4 linked regions of the Schizosaccharomyces pombe genome follow. The protein of the gene in region 2 binds, or shares a complex with, the protein of the main gene of each other region. Each region holds a gene or a part of one and is shown on either strand. Other genes may lie near its edges.

Region 1 (5,918 bases), 3.6 Mb from region 2:
TTTTCTAACTGTTTTTTCGCTGAATCTTTCACGTATAAAATAAAAGGGATTCCCTTCTCGTCACATTGCTCTTGAAGCGTGAATTGGTCGTTCGCAAGCTTTGAGCTATAAAATCGATTTTTGATTTTGAATTCATTATTTATTTTGGGAAATATTTCTTTCGTTAATGTATTCGATTTCGCATCAATTCTACATGATCGAGAATTTCTAAGCGATCCATGCGATAGCTGTCGAATTGCGATCACAGGATTTAAGAGTGTTTGAAAACAACGTTCTCGAAAGAAAAATGGTCCTTTAAACAATAAGTTTACTCGCGATTTCATAAGCATCACTGCAAAGTATTATAGCCACAAGTTAGGACTTTCTAACTTGTAAACATACAGTAACGTAATAGAAGTCAAATTGCCTACGCTCTGTTTCGTTAATTCAGTATATTCCAAATTGGTGCTTATGTTTATGAGATAGAGAAGTTAAGTACATAAATGAAATAGTCATAACTTGACGAGTGTGTCATAGACTAAAGTCAAATTCAGGGATTTACCTATTAGTTAACACCCAATCTCTAAGAGATTTATATCGGATAGATTGAATTCGAACTTACAAAACTCTCACACCCATAGCTAGTAGAGAATAAGGGGAATTTATCAAATATATCTAGAATTATTTAATGTTCTTTTTTACTTATGTTGTATGCTACTAAATTTTGTGATGATTTATAGTCAAAATTAATATCTTTGGATTATTTTTACCTTTTGGTACTCCTACTCCTTTAATTCTCTTTCAGTTTTAAATGAATAGATTTTTAGCTATTAGAGATAATTTCAACCCATTTGGTTAATTCTTCTTCTGGATATTTATTGTCGATCCTTTAATTCTAGCATAGACCGGTGGATCACATCCAGAAAATGTCTTTATCACAATTGATGCCATTGCTACAATCTTCTACTTTAGCTAATTCTTTATCGTGATACCAGTGTATGTACTACCGCTTAATTACTATAAAGTTGCGGGTGTTCGTACAAGCACATATCACCGCAATTGTAATATTGAATCAGGTATAAGAGATCTTGGCTATTAGACTTAGAATTGGTTGTATCTGCAATAAAAAAAATAAATTATAAATTGCATGCCAATGAACAATAATTCACCCTTGCACGTAATTAATATTTATTAAAATGTAATTTACAATTTAACGTATGGTTGAAAATATTACATGTTTTATTTACTAAGAATTTGCAAAATTTAAAAATAAACAAAACTAGAAAATTAGAAAACTATTTTATTAAAAAAGATTGAAAGGCTGTAAATTAAGACCCTAAAGATGAGTACTGTTAATTTAAATAGATTTAATCTCTTAAAACAACAGCTAAAAAGTTACAGGTATACAAAAAATAATAAAAAAAACTAACAATAATCTAAGAAAGGCTTCTGATATCTTGAAGATCTTTTACTGTTGTATGTAATTTCACAAATAAAATAGAGAATCCATTTAAGCTCTTGAGTTTTAAATGAATATTTGATTCCTTTTTTATTATTATGAATACAAAGGAATTGCTCGATTAATAAAAACTATCAAATTGTTTAGCTTTCTTCATCCACAATCAAATGATTCTATTTTATTAAGGAACTTAATCTTCAAGAAGAAAATTCAGTTTTACATTCCATCTCCCTCTACCCTAAAAAGCTAAAGAATTACAAATATACTCGTATTTACGCGTTTCTCATAAATTCGTTGTAGGACTGGCCTGTCTTACGCTAACTCGTGTAGGTCGTTGTCTACGATACTCAACCAGAACTGCCCCCTATTGTTAGCTATTTGTTTGGTATTTCTACTGGTATTACCGCTACCAGTAAAAAATAAAATCAAAATATGAATGAATTAAAGCATGCGGTAGTTCCGATAGACTTACAATCTTTTTGTCTGGAAGGAACTTTGGCGTTGTGGGTTCCAGCTCTCGAAAACGACTCGGAAGACGATTCTGAAGCTATAGAAACAGCTGATGATAATGAAAAACTTTTTAAAAAGGAATGTGTAGCATATGATGCAGGTGTTTATACCTCAAATAAAAGCAAAGGTTCACAAACTTTACGATGGAGTATATTCCAAAACAGAACACTCACTATCTTTGATGTTTCATTAAATTCTAAGAAGGAGCCTTTATCAAAATTTAATGTGAAAATTCATTTTCCATCCAACGTAATGAAGGACGGTGTAGCTTTCTCGTTCAGTGAGCATTCCGACACGACCATTATATATGCTATTACTCACGCTCGCGTTTTGTATTATATTAGATTATCTAAAACTTGGTTCCAATTACCGGACGCTCGCTTAGACGACGATTGGTGTCTTTGTTACCGACCAATATCCTTTCTGAATCAAAAACCCGATTTAATGGCCGCAATTAGCACGTCTGAAATTTGTGTAAGCTTTTTCAATGGAGGTTTAACAAAGATTATATTAAATCCAAAAGACGCTAGTCACTACGAACAGCATATTGATGATTCTAGTTATTTGTTTTCCCTAAAAAAATATCTATCACTTCAGGCATTTAAGGCAGATTACCGCTCTCCTAATACTATTATTTCAATGATTTTTTTGTCTACCTATAATGTTCTTGTGATGCTATCGCTTGACTATAAGTTAAAAGTTTTGGATTTGTCTACTAATCAATGCGTCGAAACCATTGAACTGTCACAGACTATACTTCCTCTACAATCCTTTCCTTATTTAACTTCAGATCACACCACTAATTCTTTCATCGCTCTGTATTACCCAGATAATTCTCATGGCTCTTTTTCAATTTACAAACTTAACGCAAACGCCCACTCTTTTAAATTAAATGTTGTCATCGAGAAGGGCATAATTCCTCCTTCTTTACCAGACGATGAGTTCATACCATGGATGCTTTCTGATTTTCAACTGATATCGTCAGAGGGCTCTCAATCTAAATTTTTGCTCATTATTGCTTGGAAAAGCAACTTAAATACCGTTATCCAAAAATGCAACCTTAGTCTAGATCAGGACGAGAGTTTTTCATGCGTTTGGAGTCACTCTTTGGATAGCTTTTCCCTCATAGAAAAAACCTTTTTTGACGTTCCAACAAACATGTCGTCTGGGGATATCTCAGAGATTTGGCTACAACACATTTTTGCACATAATACATCTATTGAGTCTATACAAGTTGCTCTTTTAAGCTTTCAAAACAGCTCCTCGCAAGTTTCAAAAAATAAACTGGATAAATTTGGCGCACTTACTATAAGTGAACTTAAAAATGCCGTTTTGTCGTCTATAGTTTCAACGATCCAAATAGAGCCAAATTCAGATTTAACTGGATACGATTATTATGAATATAAGCGGCTATTATATAATGAATGGGAAAGGTTTGCGAAACTTGTTGCATATCTGGATCATTTTGGAGATGAAATATTAAGTATTAACTTCGATCCTTCGAACGCTGTTACATATATCAATTATGCAAATAAAGTGGCTTTTATTAGGGATCCTTATCTCATTGAATCCTTTGACGAAGAGCCGTTGACCAAATTAATTAGTTCCCTTGAAACAGATGATCCTTCTCTAATTGAAGGTTATCAAATTCTGGATCTTGGTAGGAGTTTACATTCCTGTATGTCATTTTCTACTTTATCTGAAATTAGATACTCATTACGAGAACTAGTCCAGGATTTGCCATCTTATTCTTTATTTGATACATTGTGGGTATTTTATGACAAGCACATATATCCCAACGTCGATCCAGATTATATCAGTACTTTAATTGATACTCTAGTTTCTCTTGAAAACCCGATGCGCGACATTGATTCTCTTATCCAACGCTTAAGAAGTTTCGATATTTACAACCATTCCGCTCAATCCCCTTCCTTATTTTTGTGTGCATCGGTAGCACGGGTTTTGGACAGTATTTTGAAAAAGTTTCAAGTCTCTATTGAAGGATTTATTTTTCTACTTTCTTTGATAACTAGCCAGCAGGATTATGAGTTACAATCCAAATTTGCAGGATGTGATAAATTATTTCTTTCTTTACTAGAAGATTGGCGTCTTGTGAGTTTTCTTTTAGAGAATTCTGCACTTTTGCTAGAAAAATTTGAGGAGGAGGATGTTGATTCAACAAACTGTAATTTAAATACTATGGAAGCTTTAGCAAGTGTTAACACAGCCCTTCAGTTTTTTTCCGCTTTGAATTATTCCGAATGTTTCTCAGAAAGCCAAATTTCACCTTTACATGCTACCGTGATATCGTCTTTGTCGGCAATCTTTATAAGGGACGATACGGAAAATGATCTGGTCACTGAACTTGTAGAAAAGTTGTTTCTATTCAAACAATATAATGCATGTATGCAATTAATAGGGTGGCTTAACTCTGACCCAATTGCAGTCTACTTGAAAGCACTTATTTATCTCAAATCGAAAGAAGCTGTTAAGGCTGTCCGATGTTTCAAGACTACTTCTCTAGTCCTTTACTCACATACTTCTCAATTCGCAGTTTTACGGGAGTTTCAAGAAATTGCTGAAAAATACCACCATCAGAACCTATTATCGTGTTATTACCTTCATCTATCAAAAAAGCTGTTCGAGGAGAGTGCATATATAGATGCATTAGAATTTTCTTTATTAGCAGATGCCTCGAAAGAGACTGACGACGAAGATTTGTCTATTGCAATTACCCATGAGACTTTAAAAACCGCTTGTGCAGCAGGAAAGTTTGACGCTGCTCACGTTGCATTGATGGTTTTATCCACTACGCCTTTGAAAAAGTCATGTTTACTAGACTTTGTAAATCAATTAACGAAACAAGGTAAAATAAATCAGCTTCTAAATTATTCAATGCCAACGTTAAGACAGGACGTCGACAATTTGCTTGAGCGAAAGGCCTTTCAAATGATTAACGTTGAATCACAACCATGCTGGTATAATATTTTGTTTAGTTGGCGGTATAAACATCAAAACTATCGAGACGCAGCAGCAATTATTTATGAAAAACTGAGCCGGTATATCTCTACTACAGAATTAATTGGAAAAAAGGAGAGAACTTTTATAATAGAACATTATTTGATTGTTTTGAACACTCTGGAGTTGCTTCCGAAAGAAGATACATGGATTCTTGTGACAGACATGTCCGTGGACAAGGAACCTGACCCTAACTTTCTTCCACAAAAATTACTTACTCTAGATGCAATTGTAGCAGAATATCACTTACAGTTGAAGGATGTCGCTGTTCAAGTTACAGCTGAAATGTCATCGGCCATGAATATCGATTTATAAAGGCAACAAAGAATTATTTACGCAGCTTAACCTTCTCATTTAGAAAAATCCAGAAAAAAAGCAATATGCTTGGCAGAGTTTTAGTAATTAAATCATCTTTAGTTTCATTGAGGCGATGGGTAGCCATAAATAACTAACTTCTTTCTATAAAATTAAATTCTGAATATAAATATACTTTCGATAGCATTGGTATTTACATATCTTTAACGAATTATAATTCCGACCTTTTTGCTGCAGCTTGCCGCAGTTTGCTAATTAGTGTTGTCCGTTGGGAAATATTGTTGAGATACGGCTAGTATCGGCAGAATGTTGGAACCAACAATAATTATATATTTGAATTTTTATTTCCTTATTTTATAACATTTTTTTGAAACTTTTGGTTTCAGATTAAATAATTCTCTATTAATAATAGTGTACGGAAATTGCACGCCGTGTGCCCGAATTTAAATTTGTCGGGTCCCGAAGGAATGTACAAAACACCAAGACCTGCGAAAACTGATTCTCAGTGAATTGGGTATATCGGTCTTGTAAAGATCTAATTAATGAACGTTTACCAATGTTATTGAACTGAAAATATCGTTATGAGGATTTTTACTCTTGGAAAAGGCCGAATTTCACGAGGGTATGCTCGGCAAGT
Region 2 (5,111 bases):
CCTCATCCTTACGTTCCAATTTTTTACTATAAAAAACCTGAGCTGGTTTACTAGTTATAGGCGCGGAGACGATTACTTCCTTTTCGTTTGTATCTATCTCCTGTCTCTTTAAGCTTTCAAAAGCATCAGAAAGAAAATGTTGGGTTTTCTTTTTATTCTTAGATTTTATAGATTGTTTTGGGATGGATTCATCTTCGCTTTTGGGCAACCTTGGTAATGAAGTAGATTCATTTTCTTTCCCTGCTGTATTTACACCGAAATTTTGTAAAAAAGAGTTATTCGCTTTTTTAACCCCACTTTCCTTATTTTTAGACGCTTTTTCCATCAAGCTCCCTCAAGCAAATTGCACTGAACGTGAACATTCAGTGGTAGTAGAAATAGCTTGTATACGATGGGTTCTTACTAAGTGAAGATTGGTGTCAAGAACTCAAATATTTCTATTTGCTTACTTTAATGTTTTTTTGAGTATAAAAGTAAACCCTACACAATATATCCACTAACACAGTTTTCGAGTCGAAATTTGTAAAGACTGCTCAAATCGACTATAGGATTTAAGAACTTGCGCAATGGTCCTAATTAACCGAACTTTCAAACAATTTTATAAGAATGTTTGCAACAAAGTGTCTGCAATTCTGGATTTAGTTCATAGTCTAACTTTTTGGAAAAAAAAATTTATATTAGAAATAGTCAAAAGTTATGGAAGTTTTTCAGCTTAGTTTTAAAATCAACGTATTAAGATAAACTGGTTATCAATGCGAAGATGATACCACATTTGCAGCATCACTATTAGTTTTCGAATTGAATCTCTTATACATTGACACTTATAAAGAAAAAAGCCCATTAGGGGTTGAAAGGCTACATTCTCCGGCCTTTCCTAAATAAGAAACATATTCAACCAGTCTGCCACTTTTAATAAGACAATGGTAAAGTTTTAAATCTTCACTGGCAACTTCGTTAGCCAGAGCAAAACAGCTATCATAGTCCTCAAGGCTAAAATAAACATTATGCAAACCGAGAATTAGTTCAGGCACATACAAATTCCGAATAGTCATAAGAGTTTTATAAAGCAAAGGATCATCATCTGGTTTCAGCTCCAATGTAGACGGGTGAAGCCAGTTAGCTTGAAGTAAGTCTGTGAAGGACTTTACACATTTACGAGAGGCAAAATTCAATTTTTTTTTCCAAACTTTATAAGAAGTGCTAGCTTTCGTAACTGCAGAATCTTCAAATACTTCTTGTTTAGAAAGCTCTTCCCATTCTTGATAAAATTTAAGTGCTCTGCAGAGAGCTCGATAGTTCATCAGTTCATACGCATCTCTAAACTTAGAATCGTTTTCGGGTTCACCATCGCTAGAGCTTAGCGTATTCAAAGCATCAGAGGGAATATGTGTATAAAGATCGTATGCACTATTTAGCTCGCCAATGCTTAAAAAGAAACGATATACAAGGTTTGCAAATCGGAGCAGCTCATCTGTCTGTGAAGTGATTAATAACCATTCAAGGGTGCAGATGAGCTTTTTATAAGATGGTTCAACTGGCTCCTCAATAGATTTTAAATATACTGTGTGAACTTCTTCGGGAGAAACAGAGACAACTTCATCATACACATATTCAACAGCTAGTAACGCCGCATGATTAATATCTAATGAATATTTTTTTGCTAATTGAAGTTGTTCTGATCTTGCACTTTCTTCATCAACAAGAATAAGGAATCGAGAATAAGCCTCGTACTGCACTTGATTTGATAGGTACTGAATATACAATGGAACCAAGTTAACTTTTTTAGCACTAGCCAATAACTCAATATACGCTTGGATAATAGAGTCAGAAGTATATTCATCCACAGCAAGACCTGAAATCTTCAAAAATAAAATTATGTGTGTCAGTATTCGAAGAAGAGGAGGTGTAACCAAATCCCCAGACTCAGGGGCATTTCCAGTCCGAATTGCTTCCAACTGTATGTGAGCAGAGCTCAAAATTTCCGAAATTTTATTACAAATGATATGAGTTTGAAGTTTAATTAGGGGATGTGATGCTTCTTCTTGGATTGAAGCAATAGAGCTGTTACTCAGCGAATTAAAAATCAATTCGGGAGTTAAGCCTAAACCACTATCCACTGGAGGCAATTGTGTTTCTGTTTGAGGAGCCTTAGAAGAAAGATAAACATCCAAATTGTACTGAGTCATACTATTATAATAAGCCCACATCGCATCCTCCCAAGTTGTGCACACATCAAGGACGGAGTTCAAGTCTCCACATAAAGCGCCATAAAGAGCGCGTTCATAAGAGTCTATCCGTTTATTTTTTGTAAGTGCTAAACATGATCTGCGCAAGAGTTCCTTTCTTTTATTACCGGAAGTCTCGGATTGCAAAACATCGTCGATGAGGTTATCTCTATACTCCAAAATTCCTTGAAGTGAAGCAGAACGCCAATGATTACCAGTTCTCCTACACAGCTCTAATAGTTCTTCAAAGCTTCCCGAACGAAATAAGCAGAATGCAGTATGAAAAAACTGGCGTTCAAAGTTATCATCTCGTTCGTCTAAACGTTTGTCGTCTCGTATATCTGCATCAGGATCGAGATTGGAAACAATCGTACCTGAGATGTTGGAAGAAAACCTAGAACCACCTCGGTTTTTCATTTTTATATCCTCTCTTGTATAAAACCATCGGTTTCCTCGAATTTCAATTGAAGGAGGATCGGAGGAATTATCACGAGCCCAATTGAATACGATCTATAGAATATTAACAAACATATAATAAAAAAAATACGTACATTATTCTCGAATGCCTCGGGATTTTGAGAGTAATATTCCTCTTCTAAAACGGCACGAGACGAAAAGGCATGCGACTGAATATGCCCTTGTTGTTCAGATAATCGAAACCTAGTAAAAGTTGTTAAAAACCAAGTTAAACGAATGGCAGCGAAACGAACATACGAGTAAAGACGTTGTATTAGGTCCCATGTACGAGATTCTAAATCCCATAACTCTATCCATTCTTCATCATCTTCTTTCAAACATTTTTCAAATCTATTTATGTTAATACAAGTGTTCATTCAAGTCAAAGTACAGAACGGTAACCATACTTTTCCTGACACAACTCATAGTATGCATATAGCAGCCCATCCTTTGAGAATAAATTGTCTTTCTTTAAAGAAGTGATTATATTAAACTTTTCGTATTCGTCTCCAAGTTCAACGCTTACGGCGGTTTCTGTACCATAGTTAGATATATACTTTACTTGTACGTGATAAGCTTTATACCATTTGGGCCTATGCAAACGACATTTTGATTCATCTAAATGGTTAAAATAATGTTAAATTTATTTAATAACAAACCTCGGCCTCTTCTTCGTCCATTTCAATTAGTTCTTGAATACTAGAACTCTTCGTATGTTAGTACTTCTGTGTTCCAAGCAGTAGAAATTGACAATAAGGGTTAAAATCTTATTATTAACTTACTCCATTTTTTTTGTGTCCAAGGACATTCAGAGTAGCATTATTCAATGCATTCTGATGCATGGTTTTGAAATCCAACCTCGTATGGGTTAAGATCGTACTATAGCAGCAACAAGCCATCCAAGCAATGTAATTTCAACAGACCAATTCTAATGCTATATTTCAGTTATATGCATACTATTTTCTTTTTTTTACATATTTATATTCATTTGTTTATCTACTACTTCTTTATTTCGAGAAAAGACATAAAATTTATTAAGTCCATGAATTTTCTTGTCAACTCTGCACACTAGTAGAATGGAACTAACTGTTTCCACGATCAAATGTCGAGCCCAATCAATTACTTTTCTCTCATTTACCATGTAGCTTAGATAATTTTATTTACTATTACATTTTTACACTTTACTAGCCTAAATGAATAATAAACGATGTGTATTGAATAAATTTAATATATCTGTAGAATAACACTAATTGATGTTTACGCTAGTATTGAACAATTCATAAATACTCCGATTGATTTACAAATTTATATACAAGAAGACTATCCTTCTGTAATGTTATCAATAAAAGAATTGAAAAGGAAAAGTAACACGAATCAGAGAAACCAACAAAGATAAAAGGGATTAACCCTCGAAAGGTCTATATGTAATAATTATGGACACCTAATATCATAAATGTCTAAAGACAGACATAGTTAGGTATTTTTTGAGAATTAAATTTAAGGCAAAGCAGGAACGCTCCAAGGGTTGTTAGGTTCCTTGCCGTATTGGATATCCAAAATCCATTTGCTGATTTCAGAAGTGATGGGACCAGCTTCCTGACCCTCAGGCATGGGAATTTCATACTCAGTACCCTTGTAGTTAATAGCCTTGACGGGGGAAACAAGGGCAGCAGTACCAGCTCCAAAGACTTCCAAAAGGCGACCTTCCTTAGAAGCTTGAGCAACCTCTTTCATGGAATACTTGCCCTCAGTAATCTTCCAGCCTTTAGGTGCGAGACGTTCACGGCAAATTTCCAAAATAGAATCACGAGTGACACCAGGTAAGATCATACCGTCAAGAGGGGCAGTAATGATTTCTTTTTCGCCATTCTTGTTAATCCAAACAGTAAAGCAGTTCATAGTACCAACCTCAGTAATGTAGTCCTCGTCTCCATAAAGCCAGAGAATCTGAGCATACCCCTTCTTGGCAGCCTCTTTTTGAGGCAAAACACTAGGAGCATAGTTACCACCAAGCTTGTAGTGACCAGTACCGCCAGGCCAAGCACGAACGGATTCTTCGGAGCAACAAAGCTTAACGGCCTTGAAACCAGAGCTGTAGTAGGGGCCAACGGGAGAGGCAATAACATAAAGCATAGCGTTGTCACAATGGTGGACACCTAAGGCTTCATCAGTACCAATGAAAGTAGGACGAATGTACAAAGAGTAACCACGCTGATCAGGGACCCAACGGTTTTCGTGAGCGACGAACTTTCTGATAATTTCAGCAAGCTCAGCAGGGTCGAAGGAAGGAAGAGATATACGAGTACCAGTTGAAAGCATACGCTCAGCATTCTTGATGGGACGGAAAAGACGTGGGACACCCTTTTCGTCACGGAAAGCTTTCATGCCTTCAAAGCACTCAAAACCATAATGGAAAACGGAGGAAGCAGG
Region 3 (5,974 bases), on a different chromosome or scaffold from region 2:
ACTTAATTGTTCTCTAGCAAAGGTTGAAAGTGTTCTCCATCGGCAATGATGATGACAACAAAGGGCAATTACAAGAGCATTAGGAGGGGAGGACTTTAAGCAATTCAAGGTAAGGTCTGTGGCAGCACCACATAAATGCTTAGAATATGCAAATACAGGTTTACCACTATTCCGAAATTCACTAGCAAAAAAATCGAGTTTCAAATCCTTAATATCAATTTTACACCTTATAATTTTTGGCTCAGGCCAGTTATTTTTGATGCTATCTTTTAATATCCTGCTATCATGCTTCGTTCGATTTGAATCACGATCAATAAGTATATATACGTTTTCTTGTTGGGAGCAGTGCTGAACATATCTTGATAACTCGGCTCTTCCAGCACCGAATTCGTAATATATAGATCCTTGGTTGTCAAAATAATGTAGTTTTTCCATATGTCCTAACAATGATGCCTAAAATGGTTAATGCTTTTGACTGCCGTTAAGAAATCATGTCGAACATACCTGCTGAATTGCATGCTTTTTTTTTGTACCCTCTTCACTGTTAAAAATGAAGTTAGTTTCTACTTTTGCAACCATCTTCTTAATAAAAAGCTAATGAGAAAGCACTTCGTACATACAGTCTTGCATTCATTGCCGGGTGAAACAACACCTTTTTTTGAGGAGTCGGTAAAGAATCACTAATTCTGTTGAACAAACAAATCCATTTTGACAACTCTTCCTTGCTTAAATCGACGATTTCAAAGGAGGAAGATTCTGAAGCATCTGTTGAAGTAGAGATATTTATGTCCTTCTTGTAATATGGATCGGTCCTTTCAACAGGACGCGCGTTACAACGCTTCAAATGATATTCTAAACGATGTCGCACAATTGTATGCTTGTGATCATATGGACAGGGGATTTGTTTTAATTCTTCCTGAGTAAAAATTTTTTTTATTCGTGCCATCAAGTTAGATAACTTTTTAACTCTTAAGTGATATTAGCCTGAATATTGATCACAAAAGTAAATCTTAAAATACAATAATTTTATTTTTCTTGTAAAATTTGGTCTTTTTCAGTCCTTCGGATAATTTACAACACTAATGAAAAATAGCTTTCCGATTCGGCAGTTCAGACACTTCAAAATAAAGTATTTTCGCGTTTTTCTCTTTATTACAGTTGTTTCCAACCCAGTCCCAAACTTTCTACTACTTTTATAGTTTTCTGTACCAGATGTGCGATTTTACGAAGAAATCTGATGTTTCCAACCATTGGCGTGCTCATAAAAAAAATTCAAATACGGAATCATGAAACATTTATATAAATTGATCATGCGTTCTAAAAAAGTAGTTTAAGCTTGACCTTGAAGAACGCAACTACTTTTTAAAAACCTCTGTTTTATACAACATTCCGGGAAAAGACAATATCCTAAGTATCACTTCCTTAAATATACCAAAGCAAAGAAATAATTAATTACAAAAGAGCAAACTGTGTTGACATTTGTGAAAAAAGTGTATATGACATATACACCGATTTTGAAATATTGATATATTGATTTTACTCTGAATTTCTTATCAGTAGCTTAACTATTTAATTCTGAGTAAAAAATAGGAGTCTAAGTAAAGTTCTTTTGATTTCAAACCCTTCTTTGTAGGAATCGTCGACATTCGTCCTTCTCAGAGCCATATTCTATCCCTAAGGGTATTAAGGAGTCAAATAGACGATAACCGCCAGTATCAGTACTGATATCGTCAAATAGTCATGAGTTCTATCCTTGGTAAAAGGAAAAATGAAGAAGTCGTATCTTTTAGCCCTTTGAAACGAATTTCTGTTGAGAAATCGCTTTTGGATAGCACTGCCTATAATAATTCATTGGATTGGCTCAGATCTAAAAATTTCAAGGTCTCGTGTCTACTTAAACATTTTAATTCTAAAATTATCAACGGTACGAAGCTTTTATTTCTTCACTGTGCGCATTACTAGGTAACTAACATCTCTATTCAATTTAGACCATCCTTTAAGTGGATCATGCTACACAGACATCGGTTATGCATTAATTAATTCCCGAAAAGCTTGCTTTATTTTGTCGTATCGTCAAAGCTTGGGAACAGCAGAACCTCCAACTATAACATTTCCGCTACCTGAAGAGGACTCAAATGGCTTTTCCGGGCAAAATGCCTTGACAGCCTTCGTCCCTTCTGATGCTTCTGACAAAGAACCTGGATTGCTGATTGTAATGCCTATCTCTGGTCGTATAGCATATTGGACTTCAATTGGGAATGCTCTCGCTCAATCTTATATATGTCCCCAGGGAATGGAAAGTTTGATAAAGTTACTCCCCAAAGAAAAATGTGAGCATTTATGTTGCTCAAACCCCATGAAGTTCATCATATCTACCAATTTTGGTCGTCTTTTTTCTGTTCAACTGCGCGATCCTGCAGGTCAACCTGACGTTTCTGTACAATTATTTGCTTCCGATATTAGTACTTTTTCTACTATTCTTCAGAAAATGAAGATTTTTAACTACCCTAGCATTCATATCATTGCTTTAAAATCCCCACCACTGTTCTCTCCATACCAACATCTTTTGTATGTCGCTGAGGCATCTGGTTTACTAGAGATATATGATTTGAAGTTGGAAAATAAGCTTGTTTCTGGTATGAATCTGTCTCCTATTTTTAAGCAGGTTTTGAGAGAAGGATGCCCCGATGCAAGCGGACTTGAGGTGTTAGACCTTACTATATGCCCCACAAACGGAAATCTAGTGAGTTTTTTAGTATGTTGGAAAAATTCTATTAATTACCGTTACATGATTATTTCTCTTGATTTTTCTGACATTTCCTCACCCTCGGTAATGAATATTCATCCATTGTATTCATTTTCTTCTAAATCTCTTGAGTCTTCAAAGCTACATTATTCATCATCAGGGAATTCTTTATTTGTGGTTTTAACAGACGCTGTTATTATAGTGCACGTCCAAGAGGATGATAAAGATATTGTATCGAGAACATCATGGGAAGAGGTTATTCGTATGAATACTAATGTCTCTGGCGGCATATTTATGTCTACTTGCTACAAATACGTTTTAGGAAAATACTCTATTCCTACGGAATCATGTTTTATAGCAACCCCTTATTCTGGTATCGCTGAAATAGAAGTTCATAGTTTGGAGCATCCTGCAAATAACGAATCTCTCGTAAAAAGCAAGTTGGAAGAAGCTGTTTTTTACTCCTTCCTTCCTGGTAATCCGATCGATTTTTCCTGCAATTACCTTCGCTCCATCAAAAAGCCTGAACTCGAAAGGATTATTGTCGATCTTGGAATGGACATCTTGAATTCAAGGTCTACTCATTTACCCCCATTATTTGCTTCTTTAATGCAGCATCTGTCCTGTAGGTTAAATTCTTTGAATAATCTTGTCCGGTATATTAGGTCTATGTCACTGGATGTTGATCGTCAAGTACTATACAAGTTGAGAGTAATGGGCGAAAAATGCAATTCTGTTAGATATTTATGGAATACTATCGATACTGAATTTAGTACTGTTAGTCATTCCCTAATTTTTCAACGCATAATTTATAGACTCACTCAAAGTGCTTCGTCGGATAACGCTTTGAGAGAGTGGTTTTTGCATAATATTGAAAGCATTGATCAACTGATAGCGCAAGCACATGAATTTTGCATAGATTCAGGTTCTCGAGTTCAAGAACTTCCATTGGAAGTTCTTGATGTAATTATGGAAGCTAATGAAGTAATTCTGGCAATTCAATCTTCGGCTTTGGCTTATCGCCGTGAGTCCCAGAAGATTTATAAGCTAAGTATTGATACCTTTGGAGAAGAGGTTCCTTGGACGTCAACGCCAGAAACTTTAGTTTTGCTGTGTCGACAGTTTGAACTTACTCGGTCAGCGCTTGTCCAGTCACATCAAGGAACCTCGGATGTGGAGAATACTTTTAAAATAAAGGATAAAGGGGTGCTAAGAAATGTCGTTTCAAATTTAGAAGTACAATTAGTGGCCTTGACAGAGGTTTGCTTTGACGCGTACTCAGAAAGGATTAGATGGATAGAACAACGTTGTGGTAAGGATGCTAGTGAAATTCAAGATGTCAAGGAAGCTTTTGCAGTTAATCGCAGATTTTGGGTTCAAACTTTATCAGATATAGGTAAAGGCAGCAGTGCCATTCGAATCGCTGAAAAATACTCAGACTATCGTTCTTTAGTAGAATTGTGCTATCAACTTTATGAGGACAATGAGCTCACGGATGCACTAAACAATTACCTTGATCTTTTTGGTATAAAATTCGCATTTATATTATATGACTATTTTGTTGAAAATGGCATGGCATTAGAGTTGCTTAATAGCGACAGGTTCAACAAATCTTATTTGAAACAATTTTTTAAATCTCGAGATTACAACCAGATTTCATGGATGCATGATATGAGGTTAGGAGACTACGATGCTGCGTCGCATAGATTGCTACAGTTGGCTACTAAACAAGAAAAGCTGGTTGATAAAAAGGAATCTGAGCTTTCATTAAGTAAATTATTTCTTTATGCAGTTCCATCCAACTCTGGAAATATCAGAGATTTGGTTTTAGTGGAACAAAAGCTTGAGCAACTACATATTCAAAAAATGGTTTCCAAAAGTGTTATGCCAGTCGTTGAACGGCTTCGTTCTCAGGGGAAAAAATACCAGCTTGTAGAAGCTGTTGTGGATGATTTGATTGGTGCCAAGGTAGCGCCTGTTATCGCTCGTCAGGTTATGCAGCGCGTAGTCAAAAAGTTCATTGCCGGACAGGTGGTTGAAGCAACTGAACTGTTGGAGTACCTCAGCTTTTCTTTATACCGTCGAGAGGACCTTGTAGAAGGTGAAGTTACCGACTATTATCTTGCTTTGCGTCTTCTTTTAACCACCAGATTAACGGACGATGCCAAGAGATTTTATGAAAATACCATTTGGAGACGAGCTGTTTTACATGACAACTGGATCCAAGTTTTGGATACCCAGGGTAAAAACGATGCAATTATAGAAACCCAATTCCGAATGTCAGCACTATATCGGACTCTAGAGGCTGTGACCATAAACGGACTTTTTCATGAAGGACTTATCCGACCTGGTTCGCTTTCTTCTTGTAAGTTTGAAGGATATGATCCTCAAAATCTCATTTCTATTTACCCACCCGCTCGCTTTGGAGATGTGACTGAAGTTACCAAAGTACTTAATCGTGAAAGCGTAAAGTTGGATCATTATCTTACAAAAACTAATTTAAATACTTGCTATATTAGTATGTGTTTAAGTTGCGATACGATTTAACCTTTATCTTAATCATACAAACCCATTAGATAATAAAAGAATTTTGGTTAGATAGGTTTCATCCGAGTCCCTTGATCATTGTCAATTTTGTTAGCTAATGAATCTAAAATAAAATTTTGTTTACCACTAACTCAAACTAGAAAGTATACCATTATATCTATTTTCAGCTTTCCAACCTTATACTACGCTAGCTTGGTATATCGGTGGAAAACCCAGTACTGCTTACTTGTCCACTACCAAGTACAGTGTTGGCTGCCTCGGATTCCTCTGAGGTTGTCAACTGTAAACGAAATAATTGAACTGTCACTTTCTTTGTGTTTTTCATGGAATCTTTGTGGATTTTAGCGGCATCTACTTCATTTTTCTACCCGTAACCATCTTTAACTTTCGAGTGCGAAAGACATCAACATTTAACAAACCGGAACGCTCTTTTAATCAAAAACATTTTAAAGAAAACTGCATTTAACATAGTGGAATATTTAAAAGACCATCATGTCAACTACTTCGTCTCACTCCAACGTCGTTGGTGTTCATTACCGCGTTGGTAAAAAGATTGGAGAAGGATCTTTTGGCATGTTATTTCAAGGTGTAAATTTAATCAATAATCAGCCAATTGCCCTAAAATTTGTATGTAATTATTTTTAGAGAGCAATCCAGATTCTCAATTTCAGTACTAACGTT
Region 4 (3,739 bases), on a different chromosome or scaffold from region 2:
AGGTCCCATTGTCATGACATTAGTGCCTTTTGCGGTATGCCACACGATAACATGAGGAGGGTCATTTGTATTACTAAGTTCCCATAAGTATGACAGTATGCTTTTTATTTTCTTTTGGATATCGGGGTCATGGACAGTAAAAATTGAGCATTTGCCAAGTTTTCTTCTCCATATACTAAATAAGCAAAGAACTTTGTATTTATCTTCTCCAGATATGTGTATAAGGGGACTCAAGCCCATGCTATCAAAAATTAAATATTGGCTCCATGCTTCATGAATTGAATCTTTTCCTTTAAAATTATGAACTACAGCTGTTAAAATTTAAGAAAACAAAGTGTCATTATCCTATTTTTGACGCACCGTTTGATTGTTTATCATTATTCCTTATAAACACCTTAATTTCCACATTGTTACATTTAGAACCCTTTAGTAATGAAAACTTTCTGTTTTTAGGTACCTTATTAGTTTTCAAACTCAAAAAATTTCGCAATGTCTTAAATAAGCCTTTGCCATCCTTATGAAAACTTTTTTTATGCCCTATTTTGCTGTCTGATACGCTTGAGTATAACGTTTTTGTATCAGATGAACCCTCCCAGTCATTATAATCATCCTCTTCAACTGTACGTAGACGATCCAAGTAGTTATCCGAGAACGGCCTGATTTGTTCCATTTCTGGCCTTGATCGAACTAACTCAGATTAGCGAGTAAGGGATAGGCTTTGTTTTTTATTTTTAGAAAAGGGTCGTTTTACAATACTCAATATAATCAAAATTCCGTAGAGTCAAAATGGCATTGCCAATTGACATTCAGTGTATAAAAAATAAAAAAAATTGAAAAATTTCCCATTTAAAAGATATACTATACTTGTGGCACTGACGTGCAATTACAATCATTATTACTTGTACATGACTTGCCTATTAAGTCCTGAAGTATTGTAGTATAATAACACACATGAGACAAGAACATATTATGGGTCACAAAAGTCATTTTGAAATCTGTGATAATCTGCAAATACAAAACTGAAAAGAATTGACTGGTAGTGTCACTATTTTGTTAAACACTGACTGCATTTAATAAATAGACAAGCTTATAAATTCAAAAAACCAACACTTTAATGATATCAATGTTACTACTATCGTTTGTCTCTTTGCAAAATCAAATAAAATGTTTTTATGAATTTTTTTGCTAATTTTGATTACGGCTCCTCAGCATTTTATTGTGAAGTTCTTATTTTACAAAAAAAGTATTAACATTATATATGCATATTTTTTAATGGGGGACTAATATTTTCAAATTACCTACTTCAGTTTTGCATTAATTAAATCAATAATTTTATCAAAAGATTTTGTACCTTAAACAAAATATCAATAATACTTTTAACTATACTGAAACCATTAAAAAAAGCACATAATTTCATATTTGTAAATGAAGGTAATTAATAACTAACTATTGACTGAGGTATACATACCACTAACAACTAAATAATTTAGTAGTCCGGAAGACTATTTGTATAGTACTTGAAACTTTCATTTCATTTTTTAAACGTCAATGAACATATTAGATTATTATCGTTTTGGCTTACCAAATCACTTCAGGTGAAATAACGTCAATGTGGTATACAAATTTGTTATTACCATCTATTAAGAATGAACTGAGTGAAGATTATGTGCAGTAGATATTTGCTGACTATTTTAGTCGTTTTGTATATTCTTTACTATGATTGTCGCCTTCGATGAGTTAACTTGTCGGACCGAAAGTTAAGCATGCGAAAAGTCTTCTTTACAAAAAATTTACTTCTTTCATTTTTTCTAGACTTACCCTCTTTTTTTTTGCGCTGATACCGATAATTTACATATAAAATCTTTTGGCCCTTCTTTACTAGCTCACCTCGTCTCTACCAACATGGATGATATTTCGGCTACTACGATTCAAACAAATCACCAAGATTTAGTGAATGATGTTACATACGGTAAGGAAATATTATTTTAGATTTTGTAGCTAATTGTCAAGACTTTTATGGCCGTCGAATGGTATCATGTTCAGCTGATCAACGAGTCAAGGTTTACGATTTTAATGATGATACTGAAACATGGGCAATCACTTCTGAATGGAGGGCAGGAGATGCTAGTCTAATGAGGGTTGCTTGGGCTCATCCTTCATTTGGTCAAGTGCTAGCTGTCTGCAGTTTAGACAGAGGGGTTCGGATCTATGAGGAACAAAAAAAGAACTTTGAATCCAAGACATGGGTTGAAGTTGCAAAATTAATGGATGCTCGTAGCGCCGTATTAGACATATCATTTTGCCCTTTTCAACATGGTTGCAAATTAGCAGCAGTTTCGGCGGATGCTACTTTACGGATTTATGAGGCCATGGAACCCGGTAATTTAACGTATTGGACTTTAATGAATGAAATTGCTTTAATGCCGTCCCCTCCTTCGCGCAACGAGCAACCAGCGTTTTGTGTAAATTGGTGCCCATCACGTTGGCGAGAACAGTACATTGCTGTTGGATGCATGAATGATGCTTACATTTACAAGCAGAACTCTCATGGAAAATGGAAAAAAGTTGCTGAGTTACCCGGACATACAGATCTTATTCGTGATATTTGCTGGGCTCCGAGTATGGGCAGTAGTTATTACCTGATAGCTACTGCATGCAAAGATGGGAATGTTCGTATTTTTAAAGTTGAAACCCTTTGCGAAGAAGTATTTCAAGAGGAAGAAGATGCTGGAAATTCAATGACAGAAGACTCAAATTTCAATCTAAATTCTTTGAAGGTGGAACTCATTGGTGAATATGATAACCATAAATGTCAAGTGTGGAGATGCCGTTTTAATGTGACAGGAACTATTTTGAGCAGCTCGGGCGATGATGGGTGCGTTCGTTTATGGAAAGCGTCCTATGCAAATTTATTTAAATGCATATCTGTCGTTTCTTTAGAAAAGTAAGTTCAGAGATGCTTTCGGCCTCATGAATATATGATACTAACTTGTGACAGAAAACCTGAAAAATTGTGATTTACTTAGTTCAATTTTAATGTAACAGATACATTGAATGGCCGACCTTGCTTGGTTTCCTTTCTTAAATTATTTCATATTTACCAGCTAGATCATAACCAAATTGTAAAAAAGGAGATATTACTTTATAAATTTTTGGTTTTAATTTATAATTTTAGACAAGTGAACTAACATTCGCTTTGAGATTAAATTTTCATTTAGCGTAAAACTTCGAAATTAGACTAAGTCTTAATGTAAACTTTTAGGTAGAGTTCAATTCGAAAATTTGTTTTAACGAACTAAACAAGCGATGGGTTCAAAAAGCTATATCTGCTACAGGTTGTAGTTTGAAAATCCGGTAATCGCTACAAAAGCATAAAAAAAAAGAAAATGAAATTGCAGATAATCAAGATACTTGTATTAAATATTTTCACTATGATATTCTTCAACCATAGTTCAAACGAAACAGGTCATTTAAGACATAGTAGTTACCATTATTGTTAACAAGGTGAAAAACTTGGCTATAGCGCTGGGCCATTTGCTCTTCATCCAACTACAAAAAGGTTAAAAAAAGAGCAAAGCAAAAAAAAAAAAAATGAATAGAATAAGTAACATCAATCTTATAACTTACCAAAAGCTCACCTGTAACCATAACGATTACGGATCCAGTAGTACCAGTAGGTTGAGCATCCAAAGTTGAGATGCGGTGTTGAACGCGTTGAAAAGGCAGGCTCTATACCAAA

The links.
Region 1: nup107 (region 2) and nup120 share a complex: the UniProt entries of both Schizosaccharomyces pombe proteins name them as parts of the npc107-120 complex.
Region 3: nup107 (region 2) and nup132 share a complex: the UniProt entries of both Schizosaccharomyces pombe proteins name them as parts of the npc107-120 complex.
Region 4: nup107 (region 2) and seh1 share a complex: the UniProt entries of both Schizosaccharomyces pombe proteins name them as parts of the npc107-120 complex.

The regions. Positions count from the first base shown.
Region 1 is NC_003423.3:4,014,720-4,020,637, reverse strand, and holds nup120 (nucleoporin, WD repeat Nup120), read left to right. Parts: upstream 1-1,787; 5' UTR 1,788-1,870; coding exon 1,871-5,281; 3' UTR 5,282-5,412; downstream 5,413-5,918. Other genes in the region: Fe-sulfur protein Isa2, read right to left, coding at 1-329; Sre1 cleavage-activating protein Scap Scp1, read left to right, coding at 5,863-5,918. UniProt on the Schizosaccharomyces pombe protein: Functions as a component of the nuclear pore complex (NPC).
Region 2 is NC_003423.3:438,453-443,563, forward strand, and holds nup107 (nucleoporin Nup107), read right to left. Parts: upstream 3,552-5,111; 5' UTR 3,524-3,551; coding exon 3,464-3,523; intron 3,389-3,463; coding exon 3,341-3,388; intron 3,300-3,340; coding exon 3,266-3,299; intron 3,216-3,265; coding exon 3,089-3,215; intron 3,033-3,088; coding exon 2,940-3,032; intron 2,886-2,939; coding exon 2,777-2,885; intron 2,736-2,776; coding exon 822-2,735; 3' UTR 547-821; downstream 1-546. Other genes in the region: rhp1602 (DNA translocase Rhp16b), read right to left, coding at 1-325; branched chain amino acid aminotransferase Eca39, read right to left, coding at 4,179-5,111. UniProt on the Schizosaccharomyces pombe protein: Functions as a component of the nuclear pore complex (NPC).
Region 3 is NC_003424.3:2,775,631-2,781,604, forward strand, and holds nup132 (nucleoporin, WD repeat Nup132), read left to right. Parts: upstream 1-1,657; 5' UTR 1,658-1,740; coding exon 1,741-1,924; exon of another isoform or gene 1,925-1,980; intron 1,981-1,988; coding exon 1,989-5,293; 3' UTR 5,294-5,423; downstream 5,424-5,974. Other genes in the region: tRNA 2'-O-methyltransferase Trm13, read right to left, coding at 1-453, 505-541, 621-946; serine/threonine protein kinase (CK1 family) Cki3, read left to right, coding at 5,786-5,920. UniProt on the Schizosaccharomyces pombe protein: Functions as a component of the nuclear pore complex (NPC).
Region 4 is NC_003424.3:2,397,519-2,401,257, forward strand, and holds seh1 (GATOR2-SEACAT complex WD repeat subunit Seh1), read left to right. Parts: upstream 1-1,890; 5' UTR 1,891-1,902; coding exon 1,903-1,969; exon of another isoform or gene 1,970-2,010; coding exon 2,011-2,944; intron 2,945-2,998; coding exon 2,999-3,017; 3' UTR 3,018-3,201; downstream 3,202-3,739. Other genes in the region: glm1 (glomulin), read right to left, coding at 1-305, 361-670; nuclear import protein Nxt2, read right to left, coding at 3,442-3,549, 3,628-3,729. UniProt on the Schizosaccharomyces pombe protein: Functions as a component of the nuclear pore complex (NPC).